Linked DNA regions of Coturnix japonica. The protein of the gene in region 5 binds, or shares a complex with, the protein of the main gene of each other region. Links are inferred from orthologs where the notes say so. Each region holds a gene or a part of one and is shown on either strand. Other genes may lie near its edges. The genes, in order: ADGRD1, GPR21, CRHR1, CRHR2 and GNB1.

Evidence for each region.
Region 1: the proteins of GNB1 (region 5) and ADGRD1 are in contact, whole or in part, in a cryo-EM structure (PDB 7EPT), measured with the Homo sapiens proteins. The link is inferred for Coturnix japonica from reciprocal best matches to the Homo sapiens genes GNB1 and ADGRD1. Residues at the interface, in NP_001269468.1 of Homo sapiens: Arg52, Asp291, Val307, Ala309, Gly310, His311, Asp312, Asp333, Phe335; in NP_942122.2 of Homo sapiens: Ser593, Val594, Ser595, Arg598, His819, Lys822, Val823, Leu826.
Region 2: the proteins of GNB1 (region 5) and GPR21 are in contact, whole or in part, in a cryo-EM structure (PDB 8HJ1), measured with the Homo sapiens proteins. The link is inferred for Coturnix japonica from reciprocal best matches to the Homo sapiens genes GNB1 and GPR21. Residues at the interface, in NP_001269468.1 of Homo sapiens: Gln44, Arg46, Thr50, Arg52, Ala309, Gly310, His311, Asp312, Asp333, Phe335, Lys337; in NP_005285.1 of Homo sapiens: Pro57, Leu58, His61, Arg313, Arg317, Thr324.
Region 3: the proteins of GNB1 (region 5) and CRHR1 are in contact, whole or in part, in a cryo-EM structure (PDB 6PB0), measured with the Homo sapiens proteins. The link is inferred for Coturnix japonica from reciprocal best matches to the Homo sapiens genes GNB1 and CRHR1. Residues at the interface, in NP_001269468.1 of Homo sapiens: Arg42, Arg46, Arg52, Phe292, Val307, Ala309, Gly310, His311, Asp312, Phe335; in NP_004373.2 of Homo sapiens: Arg145, Ser146, Lys376, Arg380, Asp383, Lys384, Ser386.
Region 4: the proteins of GNB1 (region 5) and CRHR2 are in contact, whole or in part, in a cryo-EM structure (PDB 6PB1), measured with the Homo sapiens proteins. The link is inferred for Coturnix japonica from reciprocal best matches to the Homo sapiens genes GNB1 and CRHR2. Residues at the interface, in NP_001269468.1 of Homo sapiens: Arg42, Gln44, Arg46, Arg52, Phe292, Val307, Ala309, Gly310, His311, Asp312; in NP_001874.2 of Homo sapiens: Arg142, Ser143, Lys372, Arg376, Asp379, His380, Ser382, Val385.

The regions. Positions count from the first base shown.
Region 1 is NC_029530.1:2,632,335-2,637,576, forward strand, and holds part of ADGRD1 (adhesion G-protein coupled receptor D1), read right to left. Parts: intron 4,195-5,242; coding exon 4,130-4,194; intron 3,995-4,129; coding exon 3,839-3,994; intron 2,661-3,838; coding exon 2,601-2,660; intron 1,887-2,600; coding exon 1,769-1,886; intron 1,179-1,768; coding exon 1,068-1,178; intron 1-1,067. UniProt on the Homo sapiens protein: Adhesion G-protein coupled receptor (aGPCR) for androgen hormone 5alpha-dihydrotestosterone (5alpha-DHT), also named 17beta-hydroxy-5alpha-androstan-3-one, the most potent hormone among androgens. Also activated by methenolone drug.
Region 2 is NC_029532.1:7,308,989-7,314,970, reverse strand, and holds the start of GPR21 (probable G-protein coupled receptor 21), read right to left. Parts: upstream 3,939-5,982; 5' UTR 3,856-3,938; intron 3,540-3,855; 5' UTR 3,181-3,539; coding exon 2,134-3,180; 3' UTR 1-2,133. UniProt on the Homo sapiens protein: Orphan receptor.
Region 3 is NC_029542.1:1,738,555-1,744,404, reverse strand, and holds the start of CRHR1 (corticotropin-releasing factor receptor 1), read right to left. Parts: upstream 3,806-5,850; 5' UTR 3,755-3,805; coding exon 3,517-3,754; intron 1-3,516.
Region 4 is NC_029517.1:3,701,442-3,707,166, reverse strand, and holds the start of CRHR2 (corticotropin-releasing factor receptor 2), read right to left. Parts: upstream 4,043-5,725; 5' UTR 4,010-4,042; coding exon 3,944-4,009; intron 1-3,943. UniProt on the Homo sapiens protein: G-protein coupled receptor for CRH (corticotropin-releasing factor), UCN (urocortin), UCN2 and UCN3. Has high affinity for UCN.
Region 5 is NC_029536.1:1,653,488-1,659,524, reverse strand, and holds the end of GNB1 (guanine nucleotide-binding protein G(I)/G(S)/G(T) subunit beta-1), read right to left. Parts: coding exon 6,022-6,037; intron 4,895-6,021; coding exon 4,693-4,894; intron 4,323-4,692; coding exon 4,106-4,322; intron 3,626-4,105; coding exon 3,519-3,625; 3' UTR 3,518-3,518; exon of another isoform or gene 3,514-3,517; intron 3,132-3,513; 3' UTR 1,392-3,131; downstream 1-1,391. UniProt on the Homo sapiens protein: Guanine nucleotide-binding proteins (G proteins) are involved as a modulator or transducer in various transmembrane signaling systems.

The DNA.
Region 1 (5,242 bases), on a different chromosome or scaffold from region 5:
GATATCCAAATAGAAGGATGTGTAGCTGTACTTCCAAAATGAGTAAGCTGTTAAGTAATCATTTGTCATTGTAAAACTCCTACATGTCACTAGAATGGCTGCATGCTGTGTGTAGTCAACATCTCAATGGTAGCTGCAGTAACTTCAAGGCCATTTAACCACTATGTACATTAACTAGCAGTTTTCAGTACTTGAACACAGGCAACTGGTTTCTGCAATGACTGCCTGTTCACTGTCTGCATTCCAAGTATTTATGGGTTCTTCAGCATCTAAGAGGAGAGAGAGAGGTGTGTTTTATGAGCGTCCTTTATTATCCTTTCTGCTGGGTTCCAAGTATTTGTAATGTGAACTGCTTAAGGTGGAATAATAAATGTTTAGGTTGGTTCTTTGGACTGTGTCGTTCAGCTTGTTCAGAAGTGAGTTTTGGCTGCAAAACACCCCTGCAGAATATCCACAGTTAACATAGCACTGTGTGAGTAAGGAACCAGACTTTTTTTAACAGACCGAAACTTCAGATTTTTGCCATCTTCTCACTTTTTGAGAGAAGCTAAAATTTTAGCACAGGCATGGATTTCTTAGTTCTGCCCTTTTGCCTTGACTGTACTTCGCATCTTTATTCTGTTTCTGGATATGCTGTTGCTTAGGTCTGTCATTTTATAGATAAATCTCATAAAAATGTTAAAACAGATTTCGTATGCTAATACAAGTAATGACCTGAAATTTCTTACAAATAACCAGTTATGATGAATAAAAATAATTTAAGAAATGAAGGCCTTTCTCATGTAAAAAGACATCAGCATTAAATGGCTGCCTCCTCTGCAGTCTGGCTGTATTATTCAAGGTAAATTCAAGTAATAGGAATATTATTCAAGTAAGATGAAAAATTCTACCACATTGATCATTCATTAGTGTGGCAGAAGAACTGTTGTTGGTTTAGAACAGGTATGATCAATGGCAATCAAATCGGTTATTTGTCAAAGTAAGGCAAACAGAAAACTGCCTTCAAGCAAAATTAATCTCAAGTGCCCTGTTTACATTCTCCCACTCTCCCTTTAATTTTTTCTTACCTCTTTCTTGAAAAGCTTCACTGGGAATAGAAATATAACTATGTCCTCGGGATGGAAAGCGATAATGGGACACATTCAGAGTCTTGGGATGCATTTTGGCCAAAGTGTAGTCTGTGTGAGAATCCAAACAATAATACGATAAAATCAATAGCCTTTATTATGACCTTCATGAGTATGTAGCTTTGCTTTTCTAACACCTACTGTAAATCTTGACTCTAAAGTTCCACAAGTTTGCAGAAAATAGAATAAATTCCCTGCATACAAAATTGCCTTTTATACCCAAATTAGGTTGTAGGATGCAAAACAGCGGCAAAAGAAAACATTCTCCTAAAAGTTTTAAATCAGATTTCTCTCCCCAAATTAAAGTTTTTTAGTACCTATACATTTGCAAGTTCAAAGCACTGAATAAAAGCTCTGGGCAGTACTTTAATTCCCTCTAGTATAGACTGTGCTGTGCTAAGTCTTCTGTATTGTTTTATTGGGTCCTTATGCAAAATCATTCCCCAGATAAACTCAAGAACCTCAAGTGCAGTCAGAGATGATTACCTCTGAACTTTCTGCAGATGAAATGGCATCCCAAAGAGAGAATAATCTGTTCTGATTTCCTCTTAAGTGTTAGCAAAGTAGAGGGGCTGCATGCACAGAAACATTCAGGAAACCCTGACAGGCCAAACAGAGAGAACAGCTCTGTTAAATCCTACCTGCTATGGATGATGAACCCTCAACAGTAAGAGACATCGAGTTTTCTTCCAGATTGCGTGTCATGTGCACCATCACACTGTCAATAGTTTGAATTAAGCTTCCAAATATGTGAGCAGTCTGGGAGAAGAAAAAAGATAAGGCACTACAACAAGAGAAATTGAAGCTCACAGCACAAAGTGCCAAGGTGTCATGATAAATTCCTTTGTAAGTCATTGTTTGTGTGTCCAAAGTAACAAGTGATTTTCTCCATAACGTTTTCCACATGTAGTGGATAAAACGTTATTTAAAATGATGTCACACAGAGCGTGATCTTCTAAAATATTATGTTTTATAGAGCATCTCTAAAGGACTCTTTGCTCCCATCAGCATTTGTCAATTATATTCAGGAATCAGAAAAATGACATCAAGAACCGAGCAGATTATTTTGGCAATATTTTAAGACTTGGATCAGACACTCACTGGGACATGATTTTAAATACACTGTACTCCAGCTTTTCTTTCATCTGTATTAGAACATCCCCCAGTACAAAGCTACAAGGGAAGTGTTTATGTCTCCTAGAAAATAGTCGTCAGAGTGAATGCATGCTTTAATATGGAAGAAATCTCCTTGATTTGATATTTCCTTACACAAGAGGCAATCTAGGATTTTAAGCTAACAATTTAAATCCATTAGACATCTATCTGTTTTTCTTAAAAGCACTTTAGGATTCAGTCAGACCCTAAGTCATCCTGCTAGTCATAGCAGGAAGAATAGAGGCAACCAATTTCATTACTGTCTATGCTAAATCACAGATCTGAATTAACCAAGAAATCAAAGCTCATTTGTCTTACCTCAGGTATTTCAAGCCAGTTGGGTAGCATCAGAAAGTCTTCAATAACTTTTAAAAATGCCTAAAATAATAAAATCAATTATTTTTTTTTTTCATCTGTTACATCACCTGGTAGGAACACAAGGCAGATTTCTTGGATTTCCTTTGGTTTATTTTAAGATTGCAAACTTTTTTTTTTCACTCTAGTCAGGTTCATCCCCACTGCAAGCATTCCCATCATCTTTTGTCTAGTATCATAGATTAATAGCTTATTTATTAGAAGTAGTACTGCTATGAAATCCTCAAAGTACAATAATTATATCAGACAAGTATATGTAGTCAGACAAGTTACAGTCTGTATGTATGAACAGAACTCTGGTGTTTATTTCCCAAAACAGATTTGCTAAGGATAGTCATGTCCCACATTTCTGTTTGCACATTACTTTCACAACACACAAAGCAACAGATAGAATGAGCAACCAAATCACAACTGAAATGATATGGGCAGCAGGTGTGACATTTGACAGGTTCCATTTTCAAATTAGAGCCCACACGGAATTTTCAGCAAAACAAAGGAAACAATGAATTAGAGATTTTTAGAGAGATTTTTGCTCTGTATTAAGTTGTGATTCACAAAGGACAAGCTTTACATTTTCCAAATGTTAAACCTTTAACAGAAACTGTCAGAAGCTGCCTGTGTGTTTTTAGAAGCACTGATTTATACTGTTGGTCCAAGTAAATAATCCTTGTCACCCTGGTATTACCCACAGGCTTAAAGAAACAATCCCTGGTGAGGCCAGAGCTGATGGTTACAATAATAGTTTTTTAGGCTGCTGAAATCAGGGAATTAGCTCCCCATCATTTTACAGAAGGCGAACTTTATGTTAGCAAGAAGGGCCCCTTGTCATCAGTTTGGACTGCAGAAAATGCCCTATAGTATGTATGACATACATTGAACACACAGCTGAAAAATTAATTAGAAATTCTTTACTTCTTTTCTATTTTCTTTTTAACTAAATCTTTAATGTTCAGTCATGGTTCCAAATATTATAAAACTCAAGCATTAAATTGACTCCCCAAGAACTAATGAACTATTCTCTCTGGTTGAAGCTCACTGTCTGCTGTTCTCTATAACAGCTGCTGCTTACTTCATACACGTATTCTGCAATCTGAAAAAACTTTTGTAGTTGCATTCCATATTCTACCTGCTGGGGAAATTTGAGTGTTATCTGGATGCACACACAGATTTTAGAAGTTTACCTCTGTCAGGCTTAGAGCAGTATTTTCTGACAAGGATTTGTTGGGCAAGCTGAATGAGACGTTCTCCAGGTATTCCAGCAGGATGTCAGAGGAGTGGAAGTTGCCTCTTTCTTTGGTTAGATTAGTTATGATGGGATGATAGGCATTTGTAGACAGCTGCAAGAGAGAGATATAACTCACCAGCTCATTCCAAACAGCAGGTGCCATTTGTGATGTCAGCCCAAAAGGGAGCTAAGGGACAGTTTTCATAAATTCTGATGTTTAAGAAAATAGTTATGAGGACTGTCTTACCACAGGTTTTGGAGTAGTTGTCATCGTAGACCATGAAAGAGTTGAAGAGAGCAAAAATTGCACACCTAGGGAAAAATTCATACAGAAAGGAGTTAAATTTGTTTAGGAAAAAATAACTTTAAAAATCTCCGTATCTTATCAAGAACAAGCAACATACTGTGGGCACTTCTGACAAGTTCCTGTGTGGCCTAGATATATTTCTATATATATAATTCTTCACTATAAGGACTGAGACGATGCAGACATTGAAAACAATCAGAATACCATCAACCATGGTTTCCAAATGCTAATGTTGTCCAAATAAGTATTTATGTCTTGAGTCCAAATCACTTGAGTGGCAAATAAAATAGTGCAAATTCAGAAAGTCTTTAATAAAAACTCAAAATCAGTGAAAAACTCTTCAAAAAATTAAACTTTATACAAATGGAACTTCTCTGTACACATATGGATGGTTGGGTTAACTTGAAAACATCTATTGCACTTGAATTTAGCAGCGTAGCATTCTGCCCTAAATCAAGGAATGTGTTTTATGGTGTCTTTGAGTTGGATTCTGTTGTGGTAACCCCAGGTCGCTGTGAAAGATAAAACAGCCAGATGCTACAACTGTGTTTCCAACATGACCAAAACGTTATAAACTTAACAAAACATTTTAATTTATTTATTTAGATTTTCAAACATGGAATAAAAATTTGTGCTATTTCCTACTTTAAATAAATTATCTGAGAATGTTTGAAGACATCTGTAAGAATCCCTTCATAAAGCATAAAACTTGAGCATGATTTCTGTCTTTTGTGTTGTACAGCATATGGTCTGCTTCATTATACACTAGATATAGGGTATTCTTTTCAGTGGTTTCAATTCTACTTTATCTATTCTGGATTTTTTAATGTATTACATATGTAAGTTACTTGCCATTATCAAACCTGGATGTCACAAATGCACACGTTCTCATTTACAGGTTTGCACCTGTGCTGTGTTACTCAAAGAGTGTCCATTGTGAAAATCACTCCCGTGGGTTTAAAAGCACACAAGTAATTGAGTGTAACTGCGTTAGCTCTCAGTAACCTAATAAGAATTAATGAAAATAGAGAAACCACCATCGAAGCCAAATGT
Region 2 (5,982 bases), on a different chromosome or scaffold from region 5:
AACAGCTACTGGGAGTTTACCTGAGAGGCTGCTCCAAAAATACCACAAAGAAATGCTTCGATATTAGTGACTAAAGCCCTTAAACTGCTCCCTAAAGCCCACCCATGCCATGACACCTACAAAACACTAGAGAACAATTAGCCAGCTGTGAGCTAATGCACCATTTATAAATGACTCACCGCACTGCTATGCTCTGCTCCACACACCAAGGCTACCTGGCACAGCCAGGTGTCTCAGAGCAAACAGCAGACTGACACAGCTTAGCAGAAGGAATCACCTCTACGGTGTCTGTGCAAAGATGACAGTGTAAGCCCTTAACCTAGACAACGTCTTCATATGAAAGACAACAAGCAACGTTGTGAGAGCTTCAGGATTTAGACAGCCTTAAACTTTCAGATGAGCTAAGGAAGAAGCTCATCTGGACAGGTCTGAAGTATGGATGAACACTGAAAGCAGCTCACAACATGGCTTTGTCCCAGGACAAACCACACGAGCCCAGGGACCATAGCTCCCAGCAGATCACAGAGGAGGGAACGCATGTGCTTGCAGGACCACTAAAAACAGAAACCATCTTGGTCAATAACAGCAGACCTGAAAACAAATAAACGCAGTCTTTCCTTTGGTCAAGAGAACTGCTCCAGTTCTGAAACACTCTTCTGAAACTATCTTCCCTTATTTCTTTTCCTTTCCCAGTATGACAAGTGTAAACCAACCGCGACTTCATACAACAGCTCAAACAATTCCCCAAAGTCACGGCACCGAATGCACGGACTGGGAGCACAGCACAGCACCAGGTCTGTGTTATAAAGGACAATGCAGATGTAATGCACTGCTACAGGACATGGCTCACTAACGCCTTCCTATTCCAACACGGCACCAGTAAAAAGACATTGTTTTAAAAAACCAATCAATTTGAGGGCTGCACCGAATTCTTAACGGCATCACAATACTCAAAAACACTTTGTTTAAGTGAGCCTGAGAAACGCTGTGGTCGATGAAACTTTGTTTCTCAGATACTGTACATTGTTTGACCAGTTAAATATGTGTTTGCCAACAGGATTTAGCTCCTGCTATATTCGAACCATCTTTAATCCCCGAAAGCCCCAAGAAAAATGTCTCTGATTTAGCTCTGTGCACTTATGAATAACTCAAATACTACAGTTAAATTTACAACATAGTTCCCTTAGCTGTTTAGAAGACAATTGTTTTCTTTCCTTTCCCCCTAAGTTCTAGTATGTAAAATATCAAAAGAATTTAGATTAAAGAAAAGGGGGAGAGGGGGGGAAGGGAGAACATGTTATTTTTAAAGTTGTTCTTGAGAAAATTTCCACTCAAAAATGTGGCATTTCTCCACTGTTTGGAGAACAATTTTCACATGTTGGCATCGCTCTCAAGCGGCTGCCACAATTCTGGTATCATAAAATGACAAGTATTTTTCTCTTAGCTTATCAAAACACATGCTAGATGTGGTCTGATTCAAGTTTTTTCTTACTTGACAACAACCAGGGAAATGCAGACTGTTCTCTGACTGCGCACACGCAGCCAACCAGAGTTACGGGGCTGGGGACGGCTCAGATCCCAGTGCTGCGCTCACGGCTCCGTGAGACCACGTTCATGAGGAAACGTTCCCATTGTTCCCCCCTGCTCTACAAGTCCTGCCTAGGTAGCACAGAAAAACAAGTTGTTTGGCCCCTTCTGTTACAACGCTGGAAAATTCTGTCAATATACTTTGGCATATATTAAAAAAATCCCTGTAATACACCATATACCATGACATTTCCACTGCAGATCATTTACATGTGAAGCACGAATCTCAAAAGAACCCAGCAGAACTGTAAGAAAGACTACATTTTGCTGAAGCTCTCAGACACCCACTCCATTCAGTCACACCAGCTGGAGAGGTAAGTGTCAAGATACAGCTTTATTCTTAAAAACGAATATGGAGGTGAAACTCCACAGCCGCCTCCACAGCCACACTTTGCTTTTTTTAAAGTGAAACCACAACGATTTGTGCTCCTGATTCTTCCATGTCAGCAGCATTTCTCAGAAACCTTTTTGCAAATCTGGACATCATAGAATCGTATTTAACTTTTTGCAAATCACAGAGTAGAGTTGTCCCTGCACTTCCCAGTCTTAGACGTGACATCCATTGGAAGATCTTTTGCTCCTAGAGGTAGAGGAGTCCTTGGCTACCCTCTGTCTAGCACAAGAGGCACAAATCGCCCCCGAGAGACGCTTCAGCCCCTTCTGAAAGACACTGTTGGACAGACTGTAAATGACACAGTTGCAGAAACTGTTGCTGATGGCGAGCCAAGTGGTCAAGAAGGATGCAACGCGGTTACTATAGACGTTGGAGCTCTCCAGCAGAAAGTAGATGATGTAGGGCAACCAGAGGATGTAGAAGACACTGGTGATACGGAAAAGAACCATGGCGTAGCGCTTGTCCGGGCAGGGCTGTGCCTCCCCTGCCTCCCCATCCTGAGAGCTGAAGCGCACCCTCCTCTCATTGATCTCCTTGGTGTGCTGCTGGCAGATGCGGAAGATGTTAAAGTACGTAAAGCAGACCGTGAAAGCTGCCGGGGCGTACAGCATCACCACGATGAAGAGAGTGAAGTAAGGGTCAGTGTTCCAGGAATTGGCACACCACTGAAACACGTCCCCGTGGTATCCAGGCTTTCCCCAGTGAAAGGAGGGTAAGAAGACCAGGCAAGAGTACAGCCAAATTACCAGGATGCAGATCCGCAGTCTCCACGGGGTGACCAGCGTGTTGTAGGTCAGCGGCTTGGTGATGGCAATGTACCTGTCAATACTGATGCATGCCAAAGAGGCCATGGAGACGCTCTTCAGCACTGATACCACATAACCAAAGATCTGGCAAACCAAAGACTCGCTTAAAACAACTGGATAGTGCAGCAGAGACAAAGAAGGCACCAGACAGCTCACACCCACCAGGAGGTCAGCATACGCCATAGTCTGGATGAAGTAACTGGTGGTGTGGTGGTTCAGCAGAGGTGCACAGTGAAAGACAAATATCACAATAATGTTGCCTGAAATAATCAGCACCATGAGGAACACGATAATAACCACTTCCAGGAGGCAAAAATTGATGGTCTCCAAATAGCTAATGGCCAGGAGACAGAATGGCCGGCCACTCTGGTTGCCAACCAAGGAGGAGTTCATCTTGAGCACTGCAGTGATCGCTACTTCATGCTCCTGCCTGCTGCCTGCAGCCGCCCCAGGCAGCTGCTGTCATTGCGGCTGGGGCTCTGCGTGCAGCAATGTCAGAACCAGAGCTCGGGTCCCCAGGGCTGCTCCAGCTGCCGCTGCTGTGCATTGTCTGCAGCGCAATTCCCCTTTAAACCCGGCTCCGCGCTGCTACCGGTGCACGGGGACCCGGCGGCAGTCATGTCAGCAACTTCACGCAGACACGGGGCTGCTATTAGAGCCCTCTGGGTGGGCCGCCTCACTCAGGACGGCAGAGGGATGGGGAACAGGGAGAAGGAGCCTTCCTCGAGCGCGGATGGGAGTCCTCCCGAACGCTGACAGAAGAGAAGGGGAAACGTTTTACAGCATCATCCCCGCCCCGCTCCCGCCGCCTCCGGCCCCACGCCCTGCTCCGCCGCTCCCCGCCGCCCGCCCCGGGCCCACCGAGCGGCGGTTCCCGGTCCGCAGCTCCCGCGGCCGCCCGTGCGGAGGGATGCGCGGAGGGGCGGAGGGGGGGGGGCGCAGCCCCGCTCTCCTGGCTCCATCTTGCGCGCCGCTTTGTTCGCCCGCCCCGCCGGGATCGCGTCCCTCCGGCCCCGCCGCTCCCCCCGCCCGACCCGGGGCTCCTCTTGGCCGCTGCCCGGCCCTCACCTGCCGCCGGCGAACAAAAGCCGAGCGCGTCCCCAGCGAGCGCGGCGCGGCAGCTCCGCTCTGCCCGGCGCTGCGGAGCCGGGGGAGGGGACGGCGGGAGGAAGGGGAGGGAGGCGGGCAGGAGCGCGGGGGAGGGCGCGGCGCCGGCGGGGACCCGGCCGGGCTCCCCCGCAGCCCCCGCCCCGGGCTCGGGAAGGGCCGAGCCCCGCGGGACCGCCGGTGCCTCCCCCCGGACCCGCCGCGGTGCCTCACCCTGCGCGACCTCGGAGCCAGCGGCGCGGCGAGCATCCATCCCTGCAGCAAGGCGGCTGCCGCACGGTGCTGCGGGTGCGCCCTGCCCTGCCCTGCTCCCTCACCGCCTCTGCAGGGCGGGTGGCCGCGGGCCGAGCGAGGAGCCGAGAGCCAATGTCTAGCGGGACTTAAGGCTTTTCTATAGGAGCCCTGGTGGAGAAATGCCCGTTCCGTAGGGAAACGGCGTCTTTTTCCTGGCGTAGTTTGGGTTGCTTAGGAGACACCTGAAACCAAGGGCATCCCAGCTGAGAGATGCGGTTCTCTGGTAATTCAGGTGCTGCTCCGGAGGTAAAGTCACCTCCTGCACATGCACACAAAGTGCAACGGCGTCACTACCACCAACAGTGTCACTACCACCAACAGTGTCACTACCACCAACAGGACCTTCACGAACTAACCCGGCTCTACAAAACAAAAAGCTTGCTGGCATTCCAGAGCAGTGGTGCACAGTCACACCACCACCAAATCACACCGTGAATATTTGACCAGAAATACCTCTCCCATGCACTCAGGGCATGGATGGTCTAATGGGATGCTGCTATCTCATCTGCCCAATGACAGGACGGCACCTGCGAGCATCTCATCAGAGCTAAGCACACCCTGGAGACCGAGGCTCGTTCTGAGCCCGTGGCCAGGAGCTGCTCACTGAGCTGAGCCGCCCAGCAGTGGAGCAAAGTGAGGCTCTTCAGCAACCTGAGTCCCTTCATCCAAAATGAAAGTCTTCAACTGTCACCTACACCAGCTCAAATCACACCCTGGATCCTACTGAAACCCGAGGTTTTGGTTCATGTAAGCTAAGCTTTTGTCACACTGATAGATACCCAATGGAAATGGAGTTGCTGCCAAAGGAACCAGTATCAAAGCCATCACGCTGCAACACTTGGGATTTCAGTTGGCCTGTAGGTAGAAAAGCCATTTTGCAGCGTGTTTTTACTGGTCAAAAGCCCTGACTGGACAACACCACGAATTGGCAAATTTTGACTTGGTCTCCTACAGAAATCCGAAAACAAAAATGTTACTTTTCCACCCAAAGATCACTTTGCCATTGTCCTTCATTTCTGTTAGAATTTATGGCATTTCTACGCATGGAAAATTAAGTACTAGAACTGTAGCTAGGAAACATAAACTTTGAATTAAATTTAGGCAAGTGCATTGTGGTTATACAAAAAACAAGCTATGATTGAATTACTGCCGGAGAAATGATCTCCTATCTTTCCAAAGCAGAGAATGATTTACATACCAATTGATTCACATAGTATTTCTGGCTCCTTAGGCATGAATAGGCACATTATAAACATCCTTAGGAAAACAGCACACACTGAACTTTAAATATATCTCACATATATAAAAATAAGATAGTATTGGAAATCCTGAGACTGCCCAGAACAATGTCTGGTTGCTCAAATTTCAAAACAAAAGATGTTCCTCTAAATCAAAAAGTCCTCCATGTTTTATTTTTATTAGTAGTCTGGACTTAACTCCTACACAGCCGGCGGGCATTTCTACATAAGAGAATGTTTTCCTTTAGCTGACAGCCCGTTGTTCCCTCAGCACAGGGTAACAGCTCTGCTCCATGTCCAGGCCAGCCCACAGCTGCTCACTGCATGCACCCAAACCATGACCATGATTTCACACCGACTCTCTCAAGCCCCCCCTGCACACTGACCTGCAGCAGACTGGGAAGGCTGGAAAAGGTGACTGAGTGGAATATAACCCTACCTGCCACACCTGGAGTGAGAGACCAGCTCTGGTCCAGTGCACAAACAGCCAACCAGGATTCACCTCTAACATGTGAAAACGTGCATTTTTGGTAGCTGAGACCTGGGATTTTGGGTA
Region 3 (5,850 bases), on a different chromosome or scaffold from region 5:
CCCCGTCAGTGCTGAGTCCCTGCCAGGATTCACTGCTGCCTATTTAGCCCTTTTTATTAGTATTTCTGCATCGGTAGGAGAGATGCCAACCAGGCTGAAGGGAGAAGAGGCATTGATGTTGTTAATTTGACCTTTATGAATTTCAAATCCAGTCTCTTCCCCTGGGGAGGCAGCAAGTGAATAGAAGAGCTGCAGCAGGGCAGGGATGGCTGTCGCAGTGCTGCTGGTGTGGAACTGGAGAGCATGGAAGGCTCCTGGTCACACTGTCACCCTCTGCAAAACACACCTGCCCCACAGCACACACAATGAAATGTTCACATTGCTCACTGCTCTTCTCTGCTTCTCAGTCCCAGGCTTTCGCTATAGCTTCCCCAGCTCAATTTGTTTTATTTGAATGCAAAGCTATTCTCCCTTCTCCCCTAGAAGAAAGCTCAAGTATTTTAAATGCAAACAAACATGCATTTTTATTCAGCTCTGCCTGGCTTTGGTGTCACTTCCTTTTGCTTTAGGTGAATGTGCAGTGGTCCGAATCACTTCTTTCCTGGAAGGAGTCAGCTGTGCTTCTTGCTCTCTTCTGGGCACGCACAGGGGATTAAGGATAACAATTTATTGTGATAACAATTTAACAGCTTGAAGAAGTGAATCGTGCAGCCAGAAGTACCAGAGCTATTAGCAATTGGGTGCCAACTCCTTGGGCTGATCCAAGCCTGAATGCTATGAAAGGCAAAATAACCCCTTAAGCACTCGCTCTGCTTGACTGCTTTTTGCTGGGCTGCTCTGGGAAAGCCTCACCTATTAGTTAGGCTTCCCCATCTACTCAGACTCCCCTTTCCTTCCCAGTGAAAAGGCTGCAGTGAGAAGCATTCTTTTGACAGTGGGATGCTTCATCCCCATGGGCAAAATGACCTCATCTCTCTGCAAAAGCTTTGTGGCAAGGGGAGAAGCAGCTGCATACAGACCCCAGGGAACTGAAATCAGGAAGGTAATTTGCTGTCTGCAGCAATCTGAAGGCTGGGAGCCCTTGGGACAGGGACCTTTCAACCCTGAACAAGGTTGATCTTCATTGTTTCTCTTTGATAAGTTTAATTAAGCTAAATTTCTTGGCTTCCAGGTGTTTAGAGGTGCAAGCTGACCTGGCTTCTAATGCACCTTCTTGGTCTCAAGTCCAGCTTAACATGGTTTCTACTTGGAGGAGCCTTTGCAGTAGAGCAGCCAATCTGAATGCACGGATACCCACTGAAAGGCACTGTGGATGACTACAATAATAGTTTGGACCATCATGCCTATGCAGCCGGTGAGCATCACCTGCATCTCTCTGCACCACTCTGTTCTAAGCAGAGAACTTTCCAGCTCAGTGCATGCACCTCAGAGCACCAGCAATAGAACCACCCAGCCTTGCATCCTCGTTAAGTGTAAAATCGAGTAAGGAAGGGACTGGCAGTGTGAGAAGGGTGAGAACCTGGGCTGGGATGATTTTTGGAGGAATGATGCTATAGCAGAGCCTGTCTGTGCATCCAGCTGATGCCCAATGTGCTGTGTGCTGGAGGATCCTTGAGCTCGTGTTGCCAGCATGTGCCATTTCCCAAGAGTTATGCAGACATTAACAAATTAAGTCTTGTAGCCTTGCTGCAATTCCCATTAGCATCATCTTAACAAGTCCTCGCTTCAAATAGCCTCAAAACAAAGTTGCCAGTTTTGTGAACATCTCTTCCTCAGAAACGCTGCCTAAATCAGGCAGGGCTTAAACAGACCCCAAGGATGAGGGCTGACGCTGAGCTTCACTTACCAAACAACAGCCATAGGACAATTAGTTTTAGATAAGCCCCCATCCTGAGCTGGGAGCAACTCTCACACGCACCATCCCCATATCCATCAAGTTACCCATGCGTGGTAGGTAGGATGGAGGAGATTTTGCAGATTTAAAGCCTGGCCTGCTGTGCTCCCCATCCCAAAGAGATAGATGCTGTGGTACACTTGCTCCTGAATAGCTTTGCACTGCTAAATCCCAATGCAAGGAAGTCTGATGCCTGCAAAAAGCATTGCCTGCTGCTTGGAAACGCTCCCTGCTCTCTACCCTGGGTTCAGGAAGCGACAGCACAGGTGACAGGGGCCATGAGCTGAGCACAAGGAGGCTCCATGCCTTGGGCCATGGGCCAGCTCCTCCATCACAGGAAGGTCTGGAGGTGCTCCCCACAATTCATGGGTCAGAGCCAGAGACACATTACACCAAGAAAGACAAGCAAGAAGTAAACCAATACCATTTATCACTGCTTAACTTGGCCAAGGACAAACACCTTGTGGAGTAATGAAACCTTCAGGGAGCAAAGCCCATGAGTGATGGCCAGGCTTCTCTGCATAGCCCCCAGGACGTGCAGGCACTTCCATTTCTATCACCAGCCATGCTTTACCCTTGGCTTTCTACCCTCATGCTTCAGGTTGGGGATGCTCCTCGCCACAGTGCCCTGGGCTCTGCTAAACATCCAGGCACTGAATCAGCCAGTGCCCAGCTGGAATTGTTTAAAAAGGACTTTTTAATGTTGTTGTTAATGGGAGCAGTGTGGCAAGGAGCCATCCATCACCCTGATGGAAAGATGCTCTACTGAGCAGGGACTGGGTCAAGCTGGGCAATTGTTTGATGCATGCTCTGTCCTCTGTCAATTACAGAAACAAAATGAGTTCTGAAGCAACCCTGGACCAGGGAGGATCTTCCTCCTGCTGCCTTGAAGCTCCTCTCCCTCTCCCTCTCCCTCACCCTCTCCTCTCCCTCAGCCACTGTTCCTCCCCCCAGATCTATCAACAACCCAGAGCCATCAGCGCTGAGGTGACATCTAAATCATATCTTTAATGTAGGACAAAACACAATGCTTTGTGGGCCTGACCTATATGGGTACAAACCCTTTCAGGGGTGTTGGATATAAGTGAGGTGCCCATGACTTTGTTGGTGTCACCCAGCTTGACTGAGCCAGCCCGAGCCACGTCCCTAAGAGCTGCTTCCATGAACCCAGCAGTGCTCAGTGGCACAACACTGAAAGTACTGGGGACAGAGGACAGCTGAGCCCTGAACACATCACGGATGTGCTGCTTTGGTGACGTGGTGTGTGCAAAAAGCCACAGCTTCTTGTTGTCACCTTTGGGCATAGGGGTGGTGAAGGGGTGCAAACATAGGGGACAGTGGCTCCTGGTTAACAGAGGGCAGTTGATACTGAGGACCACTTTGGCTCCTGATGTCCTTGGGTGCAGTAGGGAAGTGGCAGCATAGAAGCAGGAGCAGAGCTGGTGTCTCTTTGCCCACCTCTCCTCCAGCCCAAAGCACGTTTATTTTTCCTATTTTTAGCTCTCCTGAGCTCTGCATCTTCCACCTGCCTCAACTGACACTGCAAACTGCTGATGCAGTGATCACCACAGGGCTGCAATGCAGCCTCAGCACATTCCCACCCCCAGAAAGGGTCTCACCCTCACCTGGCCATCCTTGCTACCAGGTGCCCTGAGCATGATCTGGGGACACAGGACACTCACCTGTGTGGTTGGTGGTGGGTAGCAGGCTCTCACAGTACTGCTCTTGGATGGAGGCTGCAACGAGGTTATCCCGAAGGAGAAACACCTGCATGAAGAGAGAGAAGATGGGAACAGCTTTACGCACACAACACGCAGCTTCCTCACACCTCTGTTCCCTCCTGGATGTGGCAGCAGGTGGGTCTGATCTGAGCTTCCCCACGCCTTGATGGGTGTCCTCCCCAAATCTGCATGCACCCATTTACAGGACTGCTTTTCCACTCTTGGGGACTCCTATTATCTTCTCTTTTCTCCAGCCATTGTTCTTCTTCCCCATATATTTCCCCAGTGACCCACACTGCAGCCCTGCACAACCCCTGCTGAGCTTCAGTTTCTCCTGTTTAGCATTTTAATCACCACTTTTAGCATCTTTGCATCCCAAGAGCAGGCAGAGGAAACATGATGAGCCTGACACCACGTTCAGATTTGTGATACCTTATTAAAATCACAGCCTTGTAAGCTGTCAGCAGGAAAATGCATCATTAAAGGGATCTGATCCACAGGGTCAGGATGAAGCCTTCTCTAGGAGAAGGGCTTGTCTGCAAGCATTGCCGTTCCCCTTGCATGGGGAAGCACTGACCACAAACAATCCTATTGGCAAAAGCTTCTCCAGAACATCTCCTGGGTGGCTCCGCAGCTGCTTTGGAAGTGAGAACCACCGAGTCCATCTGTCCAGGGAGCTATTTTGGAAAAGCTGCTGCTGAAGGATTGTTTCTGGCAGAGATTGCAATGACCTCTTCAGCCCTGCGTGGCAGGAGCAATGAAGTGATTCCATCTGCGATGAATGGATGGGATGAATGAGGGATGGCAGGGGCCAGTCCCTGTGCTCAGAGGATGGCCACCAGCAGTCACTGAAGCTAAGGAGACTCCTTCCCCACATCCGGGCTGCTCTCCAGTGCTACATCTCCCTTCCTGTGTGCCATTTACCTTCACAATCATTCTGGGTAGGGAAGACACATTCCTCCCCATGTCTTCTAGTGTTGGCACACTCAGAGATCTCCTACCCCCTCCTGAAGCATCAGCAGGATGTGTTCAGACGGGGAGACAAGCTCCGCACCCACTTGCTCTTTTCCAAACAACTATTTACTGCCTTGGGAAGCTGGTTTTGACAGCAAGCGAGATGTCAGGCAGACGTACAAACAGAGCTGAGAATAGCTCCCTTGTTATGACTGCTCCAGATGGCACAATGGATCCAGCAGCATAACCCTGCCCCAAATGCATGCACTGCAAGGGACTGGAGCACTTGTTCCAGTCCTGCAGGATCCCACCATACCCAGTGATGCTCTGCATGAGGCTGGGCTCTGGGATCAACACAGATGAAGCACAACCCCAAACATGAGAGCTCCCTAGATCCAGAGATAGGGTAATTGGGCTGCAGGGGTCCATCCCCTCTGCTTTAGTGCCTGCCAGACCTGTGGCTCACTGCATGGGCAGCTGGGACTCAAGGTTTCTTCCCAGAAGGGGCTGGGATGGTTTGTTCAACTGAGCAGATCTGCAAGTGTTAATTGGATGTGATGGTGCTGATCGCAGCCTGCTCAGCCTGGCAGTGCCCATCCTCCTTCCAGACACAGGGAGAGGTCTTGGCACTGGACTGCAGCATGGGCTGAGCTACAGCTCGAGGGGTGAGGATGGAGCGATGGAGCACAGGTATCAGCTCTGAAAAGGCTTTGAAAATGGGCTAAAATAGCAAAAATAAATAAATAAATAAATAAATAAAATAAAATTAAGAAAATAAAATCTTCCAAATCAAACAAAAGGCTTATTTTCTTTTTTCCACCTGATCCCCTCAGCCACACTGCTAGCAGGGTTAAGGTGGGGACTCCAGGTGCATTTGCACAAGCCAAAAGCATCCCAGCACCCTGCTGGTCAGGCTCCTATGTGTACTTTGTCCCCTGCTGGTTGCTTTAACCCCTCCGCAGGCTTTACAGAAGGAATAGGTCAAAGCTCCGTCCTTGCATCCCCACTGTCAGCCGCCACATGGCACCCAGTGGGTCCCAGCCTGGCCGAGCTGGAGCCACACACACCCCAGTGTCCCCTTCCCTTGGCCCTCCTGCTCTTGCTTTGACACAGAGTGCAGCCAATCCTGCTCTACAGCAAAGAAAAACCTTTGTGATCTCTCTTAGGCTGCCAAAAATCACAGAGCGCTTCAGCTGAGCATTCAGCTGTGGAGGGAAAGGTAAGCAATCTGCTTTTGCAGAAGCAGTTGCTCTGCACAGAGGTCCTGCTCTGCCAGTGTGTGCTCCTGTAAGCACGATGCTCTGCCAGGAGTTGCATGGCTCTGTGTTGGAGCAGCTCCTC
Region 4 (5,725 bases), on a different chromosome or scaffold from region 5:
ACGATGATTCCTCTCAGCATCTCAGATGTGATTCATCTCACTCACTGACCTCAGAAGTCATTGCTTTAAGTTCCCTAATACTTAATGGAAGATCAAAGCACTATCAAGGCACAATCCTTAATATTCTTTTGTTGTTGTTGTTGTTGGAAATAAAGAAATATGGAAAGCTTGCTAGGACTTGAAAATATTCACGAAATACAACAATATTCATGAATATTTTGTGGAATTTGCTTGCTGGGGAGTTGTTTACTCTATGAAGGGTCTCTCAAGTTCACAATGGTCTATAGCTCATCATCCAGCAGAGACTACAAGAGGCAAGAAGAGGAAAGATCCTCACTCCTGATTGGGAGCTCACCTACTCAAAGTCCTGTCGTGTGCTCCAAGCCATCACTCTGGCCTTCCCCCCTACTTTGAAAGAGGTGCAGCCTGGCACCCGGATGTCCTCACTCCCAAGACATGGAAACTGCAGGAGCAGCACAGCAGCTCCAGGGCCTGCAACAGAGAAAGCTGAACAGTTTTGTCTATGATGTCCACATTACAAAGCTCTGCCAGGGTTTTTGGCTCACACACCATCCCTCTGCTCCTGCTGGCATGAGACTTCTGAAACCCAAGCTATGGCCGGGCTGTGGGAGCCTGCTACTGCCACTCAAAGGGAACTGATACTTCAGTCCATGCACTGAGATGCCTGCTAGCAGAGCCTGGCTGCCAGCCCTGCAGACAGCCTGTTCAGGTTTGTCAACACACTTCCTTTAATTCACTTTCGTCTCCTTCCCTCCTTCCTCCCACAACTTCCTTTCCACTGGAAAAGCCACCCCTGGGAGATGACAAAACTAAGGCAGTACCCAGATATCAGCATCACAAAGCCAACAGTGTCCCAGGGACTTGAGTAACAGCAAGAGAAATTACCCCAAAGCCCTCATGGGCAGGTGGATCCCTTCCAGTCCTCTGGCACTTCAGCTACTATTACCAGGGCAAGCGTTTAGCATCATAGCGAGGCCAACTAATGTATTTTAATCTCCATTGGCATTGCTCACTATTTACTTTCCCAGCATACATATCTCAAAGTGGATCATTATTCATCCAGTATTATGTAAAACTTGGTAGAACTTCCATTAGTTTCACTTTCTCACGGCTCCGTTGAAGAAGTATTTTTCACCTCTTGACATCCCAAAGGCATTTCCTCTCTTATTTAGAGAGAACAAGCCACCTTTCCGTACAAACACACTCCATTTATTTGCTTGTTCCCAAAGAAACACGGCTTCCAAGTTCTCCACCCATTTAGATCCACAATAGAGCTGCTGGCATGAGCCTTGTCAGAACAAGGTGTGCATGGGCAGCACGTCCCCAGCCTTACCCAGCTATGAGCTACTCATGAACAGGAGGTCAGGACAGGATGTCACAGCCTGTCTCTGCCAAGCAATGCTGCTGTCACTACACAGCCCTTCCCAAATGGCCTTTGTTGGGATGCTGCAGGCAAGCAGGCCTGCGAGTGCTGATCTAAATGATCCTACATCAGGAACTGGTCAGTGCTTCCAAAAGCAGGACATGCTGTAAGCCAGAGACCATTGCAGCCCACTGCACTGCAACAAGGAGTGCAATTCTCCTACACTGGGATGTGCTCAATGAAATTCAAGCAGCCATTGATGTGAAGCTGCACTTGCAGGCTGACTCTCAGTGTTAAATAACTAGTTCCTACTTGTCTTCCTTTGTAATAAGGGCTATAGCAAAGCTTACCAAACTCTTCAGAGAAAGAAATAAAGGTAAAAGACATAAAGCTCTGTGCCGAACCCTTGCCAGCTCAAACCAAATATAGCTATTTTCAAAGCTATTCAGATATAAAGAAAAGGATTAGCTGTGAGGGAAAAACAAGTAATTCCATACAAAGAAACAGGTTGATAAAGCCAAGCAGCAGCGAGCGTTTAGTTGTCAAGGCTGGCTATTAGGAATAGAAAGATGAGGAGGCAAAGAGGATGCTTCTGCAAGGCCTTGGCACATAGCACTGCATAACTGGAGAGGGGGCAAGGAGGTGCCATGGGGCCACCGCAGAGCTCCGGCTTCACATCTGAGAATTCATGCCTGCACTTCACATGGGAACAGCTGACACCTGAGTTCAGAAGTGGTACGGGACAAAAGAAAGCTGTTTACAGCACAGAAAGGAAAGGAAAGGAGAAATGTTTCCCTCTCCTTCATGGAAGGAGAGGGAAATGTGAATTACTGAAGTGTCGTTTACTGGATATAAGGTTTACAGTGAAGCAAAGTAGCACCTCCCCCAGCAGATCCATTTTTCCAAACTCCACAACTATATATGTACATTTTTCTAACAGCGATGTGTTATTTTAATGTCTTTTTCAACAGCATGATGAGCAACACACAAATCAAAGGGAACACAGAGACACTGCTCCTTTATACACAGGTATTGCCCACTGTCCCGGTGCCTTCATTGTGAATCTCTACCAGCAGGATCCTGCAGTCATCTCCAGCAAAAAGAAAGCTGAGCTCAAAGCAGTGAAGAGTTTGCTTAGAGGAAAATGCCTCCCTTGGGCGCTCAGAGCTCTGAGCAATGGAAGTAAAGCACGCTCCATGGGAGCCAATAAATCAAACAGCGCAAAGGTCTGTTTTAAGCACTTAATCATTTACACTGTTAAATGTTTAGAATGGTTCCTGGCTACATTTTTGCCCCAAGCAATCTAGCAGTATCTCAAACAGTTGCCGGGAATGACCTGGGAGTGAGGCTGCTCTGTGGACAGAGCTCAACATGCAGTTTGTGCACTGTTTTAGAGGCTGAAGGAGTTGAGTAGTATGGGCACGAGCCGTGCTTGGGCATTCGGCCTGAAGACTGAATGGCTGTCCTGGCAATCTTAATGTACAAGCAGAGGTAACAACCTATGTGAGTGTAACTCAAGAAGTGTGGATCTGATGGTCCTTGCTCTACCCTGTCCTTCTTCATCAGCCCAGGTCCCCATCCAACCTGACCTTGAACACCATGGACAGGGCACCCACATATATCATATATATATATCATATATATACTCAGAGTATACCCCAAGTGAGCATTCATCTCCAAACAAACCCCTCTTGGCATTGTATGTGACTCCTTTCTTGCAGGGCAACTAAAGAAGCCAGCCACCCAAATTCACACAAACAATTCCAATGCAAAGCTGCAGGAAACTGAAGGGGGGAAAAAAAGAAAGGCCACGTCCATAGATTAGATCTACAGGGGAAACACATGGTGGGTTTTATTCACTGTCAAAGAATGAGTCTGGCAGCAGCGGGCACCTGGGTGCTACTGATAAGCTCATAGCAAGGAGTCCTCTCTATGTGGGAACTGAAGTGCTGCTGTGGACTGATGGAAAGCACAGTGAGGATGATGAGAGCAGTCCAGAAAGCTTTTATACTGTTGTGGGAGCTGCCACCGTGAATTAGGAGGATTAATGCACCTCCTGCACACCTCATACACACACACAGCCTGCCCGGCCGACCCTATTTGCTGCCTCATCATGATGGTGATGGAGAAGGATCGGAAGGAAAGATCTCCCTGATGCTCTAAAGTTGTTACAAATGCTTGGGCAGATGGGAAGGGCTTGAGAAAGCGATGGAAACGGAGCCACGTGTTGAGAGGAGAGCAAGCAGGGCACGGGGCTGCGGCAGGGCACTCCTTCATTGCTAATGGGAATACAAGGAGAGTCACGGCACAGCACGGGGGCTCTGAAGGGACCCACGGATCAGCAGCCACGGGGATATCGTGGAGCTGAGGCCGGGGTCTGTGCGGGGTCTGTGCGGGACCGTCCCGCAGCGCCGAGGGGACGGGAAGGAGCCGCACGGCTGGGACGCACTCCGTGCTCCCTCCCGGACCCAGTGGGCTCCTGGCGGGGCGTGGGGAGCCTCCCGCTCACCCTCCCACCCCTCTCTTCCCCACTCCTCCCTCCCCAGCCGGTGCACTTACGGGCAGGAGAAGGAGCGCGGCTGTGGCCGCCGCCGGGAGGCTGCGCTGCGGCGCCCGTCCAGCCATGGGGCCGGAGGGGCTGCGGGGGGCTGCGGGGGGCTGGCGCTGCCCTCTCAGCAGCTCTGCCCCTCTGCTGGCATCTCTAACCCCCCTCCCTCCCACCAACCCCCCCCCGATGCTGCCCCTCACCGCCGCCCCGCTGTCGGACCCGGTGCCGCCGGCGCGTCCCAGGGCAAAGCCCCGCAGGGAGGGAGGGAGGGAGGGAGCCTGGAGGGGGAGCCGAGCCCGCCCTCCGCCCGAGGCGCTGCGGGGATGGAGGAGGACGAAGCCCCCGGGGAGCGCGACCCCAAAGCTACCAGCAATAGAGCGGGGCTCTGTATGGCTCTGTAGTGCGGACAAAGGGAGGCACCCCGAGTCTTGTAATGACCTGAAGGATCCTGAACACAGGCATGGTGCTGTTAGGTCAGCAGTTGGATCAGAACATTTCCAATCTTAGAATCATAGAGCCATAGAATGGCCTCGATTGAAAAGCACCACGATGATCATCCAGTTCCAACCCCCTGCTATGTGCAGGGTCACCAACCAGCAGCCCAGGCTGCCCAGAGCCACATCCAGCCTGGCCTTGAATGCTGCAAGGGATGGGCCATCCACACCTCCTTGGGCACCTGTTCCAGTGCATCACCACCCTCTGGGTGAAAAACTTCTCCCTAATATCCAACCTCATAAAGGTAGCAAAGAAGAAAAGAGGAAAGAGTCCCTTTTGCACAACAAATTCCCAAGGTTTGCATGAACTTACAGCAAGGCTTAACTTGGGGTGAGAATTGCCCAGGCATCTTTCTTTGGGGAGTTGAATTGTTTTTGCCTTTTGTCAATTGATCACAAAAGACATAAAGCAAACAGCTTCTCAGCCCCTCTCCAGAACACACCTACAAGGAGGCTGAAGTACCTGAACCCATGCAGAGGTTGAGCTTCATACAGTATGAACATCACAGCAAGGAGACAGATAGACTCTATGGACTAGTGGACCTGAGAGGTGGGGGAAAGAAAGAAAGAAAGAAAGAAAGAAAGAAAGAAAGAAAGAAAGAAAGAAAGAAAGAAAGAAAGAAAGAAAGAAAGAAGAGAAAAGAAGAAAGAAAGAAAGAAAAGAAAGAAAAAAAGAAAGAAAGAAAAAGAAAGAAAGAAAGAACACAAGAAAGAAAGAAAAAGAAAGGAAAAAGAAAGCAAAGATGAATGTAATAAAGAAAGAAAGAAAGGAAAGAAAGAAAGAAAAAAAGAGAAAGAATGAAAAGAAGAGTGAGGAAGGAAGGAAGGAAGGAAGGAGGAAGGAAGGAAGGAAGAAGAAGGAAGGAAGGAAGGAAGGAAAAGTAAGGAAGGAAGGAAGGAAGGAGAAGGAAGGAAGAAAAGAGGAAGGAAGGAAGGAAGGAAGGGAAGGAAGGAAGGAAGGAAGGAAGGAAGAAGGAAGGAAGGAAGGAAGGAAGGAAGGAAGGAAGGAAGGAAGGAAGGAAGGAAGGAAGGAAGGAAGGAAGGAAGGAAGAAAGAAAGAAAGAAAGAAAGAAAGAAAGAAAGAAAGAAAGAAAGAAAGAAAGAAAGAAAGAAACTCATTGTTTTCTCTTTTCTTTCAATTATTCAACAGTCTGAATGCATTTAAATATTGAAGCTTTCCTACTTTTCCCTCTCGTGTTGGTTGTGCTCCGCCATTTGTTTCCTTTCATTATTAAAAGAAAACAAAGCTGTAACTCAGCGTTGCAATGCTTCCAATTAATATGAATGCTTTCATGAAAA
Region 5 (6,037 bases):
ACACAATCCTGACTTGTTTCAGACCCAGTTACACAACTCAGCAAGGGTGACAAGTTTTGTTATTCTTTATTTACTCTGTCACTTCCCAGAAACCAGATCAATCTATTTTTAGCTCTCACAGAGCATGATTCAATCAGTAATTTTAAGAGTGATTCACAGCTGATTTTAAACATACACTCCAGGGCACTTCACAATGGTCAACACTTCAACTGTACAACTCCAATCTACTAGCAACAGCTCCTCAGATCTTTTGAAACGCATCGATTCACTAAGAAATTAAAGGCCCACTAGGAACACAGCATTCTGAACTAGCTAAGACTGCAAAACCTGGTATCTCTTCCTCCACTTGACTTCTTCCCCTCAGCTGCCTGTGATATACAGTTCCATGGATGTTCATTTTTACTACAGCACTCTTTCCACTCTTTGGAATTTGTCTTGGTTGGTGTGAAATGAATAAAATTTGATCTAATGAGTCAGATTATCAATAGAATTTTACTCACAAAAAAAATAAAAGGGGGTCTTAAGTGGACCAATATCAAGTTGCAAAACCAACTGCATTTCAGCATCTCTAAACAGCTGTTGCAGATCTTTACTTCTGTGGGAACAAAAGAGTTTTCTAGATACAATGCTGTTCTGTGCAGACTTTGTTCTTACTGAGTGTTAAAATGACTACTTACCCTTCTCAATATCTACAGTAAGGACAGCTAACACTGACAATACAGCTTATCTGGCCAGATCCTCACATGGCAGGATCATAAGATGTTCCACTCAATCCTTTTCCTATTAAAGGGTACAAAAATTTAAGAAGTTACTAAGCATTTTGCTATCTGATTTCCTGCTTCAGGTGTTACACTCAATATATATTCCACAAAACATTTTAGTGATGTATACCAATGCAAATCACATCAGCTACTTTTGTTTGGAGTTATTTTTGTTGGAGCGCCAACAGTTTTCAATTAAGCTCTTGAGAAGGCCTAGCAATAATACCATCCTAAATAATTAAGAATGGAGGAAGAAAAATGCCTGTAGCCACTGAGCTCCACATACACACTGTATCATTAAATTCTGCATTAGCATATATCACATACACATATATTTTCAAATATTGCTGGCAACGTCTAAATACTTTGTTAATAAAAAGAAAATGAAGGTTTAAGATCACCTTGCAACTGTTTTTAGCACTAAAAACACCAAAAACCCACCAAGTCCTGAATCTTTTAACACGTATACAATGTAGACCTTTCAAACACAGTACATATATTGCCCAATTAAAATACCGAGCAATTAAAGACATGTTTTGACCTCTCACATTATATTCCATAACTCAAATTGTTCTGCCAGAAGCAGTTCTGTAAGTAGAACAATAAGCTGCAAAACAGATCAGTCAAAACTCATGTCAAACTGCTTTATTACATCTTAAATAACATTACATTTTAATATAGTATCTATCTTGCATCCAGCTTTCTTGAAGTACACTGACTTTAAAATTAAATACAAAAGGTGAAGAGGGATACAGGGTGTGGAAAAAGCTCTACAGAGTAGTTTCATGAAAGAGAGAAAGAAGGAATTCATCTTTTATGCCAAATCCAGGCCTAACGCACAATTACAGCACATTTTTGTACAGAATGTTGCAGAAAAAACAAAATGGAGAAAAGCTACTACTGCTGCTAGGAAGGAGCATTTCTGGATACAGTGAGAAGATAGGAAAGTTTAACAGAACAATCCGCTGTCCAAACACTGCTGCTTTTAACATTTTATTTGAAAAGAAAGCCAGGAAAACCTGCTTGTTACAAAAATGATTCTAATCAGATGCAAAGGACTCATCCTACAAGAGGAACTGGCTGTGAGGAACTGATTTTATAAAGAAGATGGTTTAGGTTCCCTCCTCCCACACCCCAAAATCTTTGACAGCGATTGTTTGAACAGGCTGTTTCTCTTTTTTTTTTTCTTAAAAAAAAAAAAGTGACTTATCACGCTACTCCAAAACGTGCATAGCTTTTTACTTGAGTTCTTCATAGATTTATGCACAGAGTAGCAACAATAAATGAATACAGCAACAATGGTTACAGTTTTTAAACAGGTTATTTTTTCAAAGAAAAAAACATCTAAGGACTTAGTCCAATATGCACTTTTTAGCATTTCTACAGCATGCGATTCTAAGAGTAAACCCACCCAATATGGCAAACAATCAAAAAAGGTTTTTTTTTTTTTGTTTAACTTAGAAAGTTCAAGATCATTATTTTCAAAACATTGATTTGTACATCATTTCATACACAAAGAATTGACTCAATACCCAAGTGTAGGATAGGTCTCTTTTGAAAACAGAGATTCCTGGTTGTTGAGACTACAGGATAGTGTTAGGATATATAAACTGCCCTTTCAAGTGGACAAAACCAAAACAGATTAAAAAAAAATCAGTGTGGTGAAAAGAGGGGGTAGGAGGGACCAAGGATTGCATTTGTTATCCATAAAACGTGAAAGGATTCTTTAAACAAGCATTCATTACCTTGAACAGCATGTGCTTGGTTACCTTACTGCTTAACGTTATCCTATATATGCCAAGTTTTGTGCAACAATTATCTGTGATACTAGAAAATAAAATAAAAAAAGTAGGGACTAAATTTACATCGTTAACAACCCCCAGGTGCTCTGGGCTAGGACTCCCTTGTTTTGCTCAATTAAATACATAAACAAATGTATTTAAAAAGGAAACTTGAAAAAAATCCCGCTACAAACATGACTTTAAAATTTGCAAGTGTGTGAGATAAAGTCCTTAACTTCGACTTGGAAACTACAGTGAAAGCTAAACTGTTTCACAATTATGCTCAAGTTCATTTTCTGGTCATGCTTTTATGATAGTGTTTGATTTTTAAATTCTCAAGACAAAAAAAAAAAACAAAACAAAACATGGTCCCAAAAGGAATGCACTATTTCATTTTGCTTACAACACAGAAATTCTTCTTGGAAAGGTAATTGTGCTCTTCAATTTCAGCAACAGGAGACGGAAAAGATCTTGCCCTTTGAAGTTGGGGAGGATGGGGGTCCAAGTTAGTATAGTTGGATTGAATATGCTATCATTTTTAATTTTCAATCGTTGGAAACTTCTTCCAGTCACGGAGTCCGCCACTCTTCTAACACACAGAAAGATGGGTTAAGAATTGCACTTAGATAAATTGCAGTCAAGTTTCAAATTTTATTCTCACTCCCCACTGATGCATTCAGCCATTATCTCACTCTTTTTACGACTGCCACTTATTTACCAACCCAGACTCTACAGACCATACCAGCCATCCCTCCCAGGAAAGTAAAAGAGTAGTTTACCATAAAAACATTGCTGCATACATTAAACAGCCTTCTAAAAACAAAAACAAACAAAAAACAAACACACAAAATCTCCCCAGTGACTTTTCTAACTTGAATTACATGCTTGCAGCATCAGTAGAAGAGAACTGTCTGGACCTGGAAATAAGCACTGAGTGCCACATAAGGACAGTTAATTAGTTTGATACCTACTTACTTCAGTTCCAGATCTTGAGGAAGCTGTCCCATGACCCTGTTGCCACTGCCATACCATCATCAGTTACACCTAAGCAACTGACACGGTTATCATGACCAGCAAGGACACCTAGAAATAATAATATGCAACAAACCTGTCACATTGCTCTGAAGCTTTCTTTTACCTGTTCAAGTAACAGTGAGGCTGCCACACTGCAATGACTAAGTCTATTCCTTCAAGAATTCTGAACAACTATGGTTTCAGTTTTTGAATGCTTTTCCTTCCTGAAGCACAAACTTGTGTGGATTCACAAGGAAGTAATACGGAAAGTGCTTGGCTCCAAAATTCTACTTGCATATTCCTCAAGTTACGACCTTATTGATTCAAGCTGTGAAATCCCTGCTGTATTTTCAATGTTAATAAAAAGCTATCATAAATTCTAGAAGAAAAAATGAAATCTATGTAGTAAAACAAAGCTGACAGAGAGAAATTAAGAAATTCAAGTAAAACTACTTTGGCACAGTCCAGAACCATGTATTTGTTTATATCTTGGTCCTGTTCCTATACCCCCAAACTTTGTTTTTTGTATTTAAAACCAAATATGTTTACCTGCTCTATCAGCTTTCAGTGTATCCCAAACATTGCAGTTGAAGTCATCGTAACCAGCTAGGAGGAGACGTCCGCTCTTGGAAAATGCTACAGAGGTGATGCCACAGATGATGTTATCATGTGAATAAACCATAAGTTCCTGATCAGCCCGAAGATCAAAAAGCCTGCATGTAGCATCATCTGAGCCTGTGGCAAATGCATTGCCATTGGGGAAGAACTTCAGCAGCGGGCAAGGAAGAATGGGGAAAAAAGAAGAAAGATATCAAATTAATTTAAAGAGTAGCCGTTAAAATGGGCAAGTTACTCAAAAGCTGAAAAATACATTATGCTGTGAAGTCAGAAAAGTTACAAACATACAAAATGCTTTTCATCTGGCATTCCAGGCATAGAGCCCACTGTCTGAGGAGTACTCTGAAACTGTACATCTGGAATACAACTTCACCCTAGCTCCCAAGCTAGACTTGATGCAGAAAACATTAAGAGAAAACATTCCATCATATTACATCATACAGAACATGCTTAAGAGCCGAGACCAATATAACAAAACAAACTGAAATCCTTTGTCTTGTGTTCAAGCTGATACATACACAGATGGCGTTGATGTCCGACTCGTGGCCAGTGAAGGTTTGCCGACACATTCCTTCTCTAACATCCCACAGTTTGGCAGAGGCATCGCAGGCACCGGAAACGAAACACCGAGCATCAGGAGCCAGAGACAAACTCATGACATCTCCAGTGTGCCCAGTAAATGTAGTTGTCTGCTGACCAGTTTCTATGTCCCAGAGAGCGCTTGAAAGAATAATTAAAATATACAATTAAAAAATCATTTACACTCCTATCTTTCATGCCCTTTTTATTGTCCATTGCATAAAGCAGCAGTGGCAACACGACAGCCAAAGGTAACAGCCTTTCCCACCCTCACTGAGGACGTTTGACTTTGTAAATTGCATCCCTCTCCCAACATGGCAAAAATCACCACTTCTGTGATAATCAGAGCACAAAACAATGAAATAGCACTATCACCCCTTAACTTCTAACTTCCCAACAAACCAGATCCATCAGCAGCAGATCCGTACTAGGCAAACAGAAGGTCACTGCCCTTTGTCATTCTTCTCAAAGCTTGGCTGATCCGAGGTGGACAAAGCGTTATCCAAACAACTGTCTAGTAGCTACGGTAACTCCTGAGCACAGTTACACTGTCCTGTATGAGCCTTGTTTTAACAGATCCTTTTTGTCTTATAAATTATGTTTAGGAACACCTTGATATAAAAACAAACGTCTACATTCATTAGTTACTCACAATCAGTGGACTAATGAACGGGCCTTTAAAGAGACTGACACTGTGTAGGAGAGCTATTTATTAGACAACCTTTGCTGTAAGAACTGCTGCCTGGGAGATCTGTATTGATTTTAAGCAGTAGATATAATACAAAAACTAATGAAAAGAAGATTGAGGCCTTCTCTCATCCAGAAGCTAGTTTTTATTGAGACATACACCCACATTCTCCTCAAGGAAAAAAGCTGCACCTGCTGTCAGTGCAGAATATTTTCTAGGAGCTTTTCATATTTATAAACACCTAAATATGACTTTGTAAAAAAAACTGTAAATTAATATTGAACACTAAAGTGTTTTAAGAAAAATCGCTTATTTCTGAAAGGCAAATTATACCAAAAAAAAGTCAACATTATCTTTTTATCACAAAAAATTAGGTCAATTGAGAACACAGCCTTAACTGAGCAGCCAAAGGTAATAGCCTTGAAAGATCAAGTTTTCCATTACTAGCAAAAAATGTAACTTAGAAGCAACAATCGATCATGTATAATATTCTGGATGACTACCACCTTTATGAAGTTTATTTCAACAGACTTGCTGTGTGTATCATTACTAACAATCATGTCACAATTTTACTGCTTACCAAGTGGTGTCGCCAG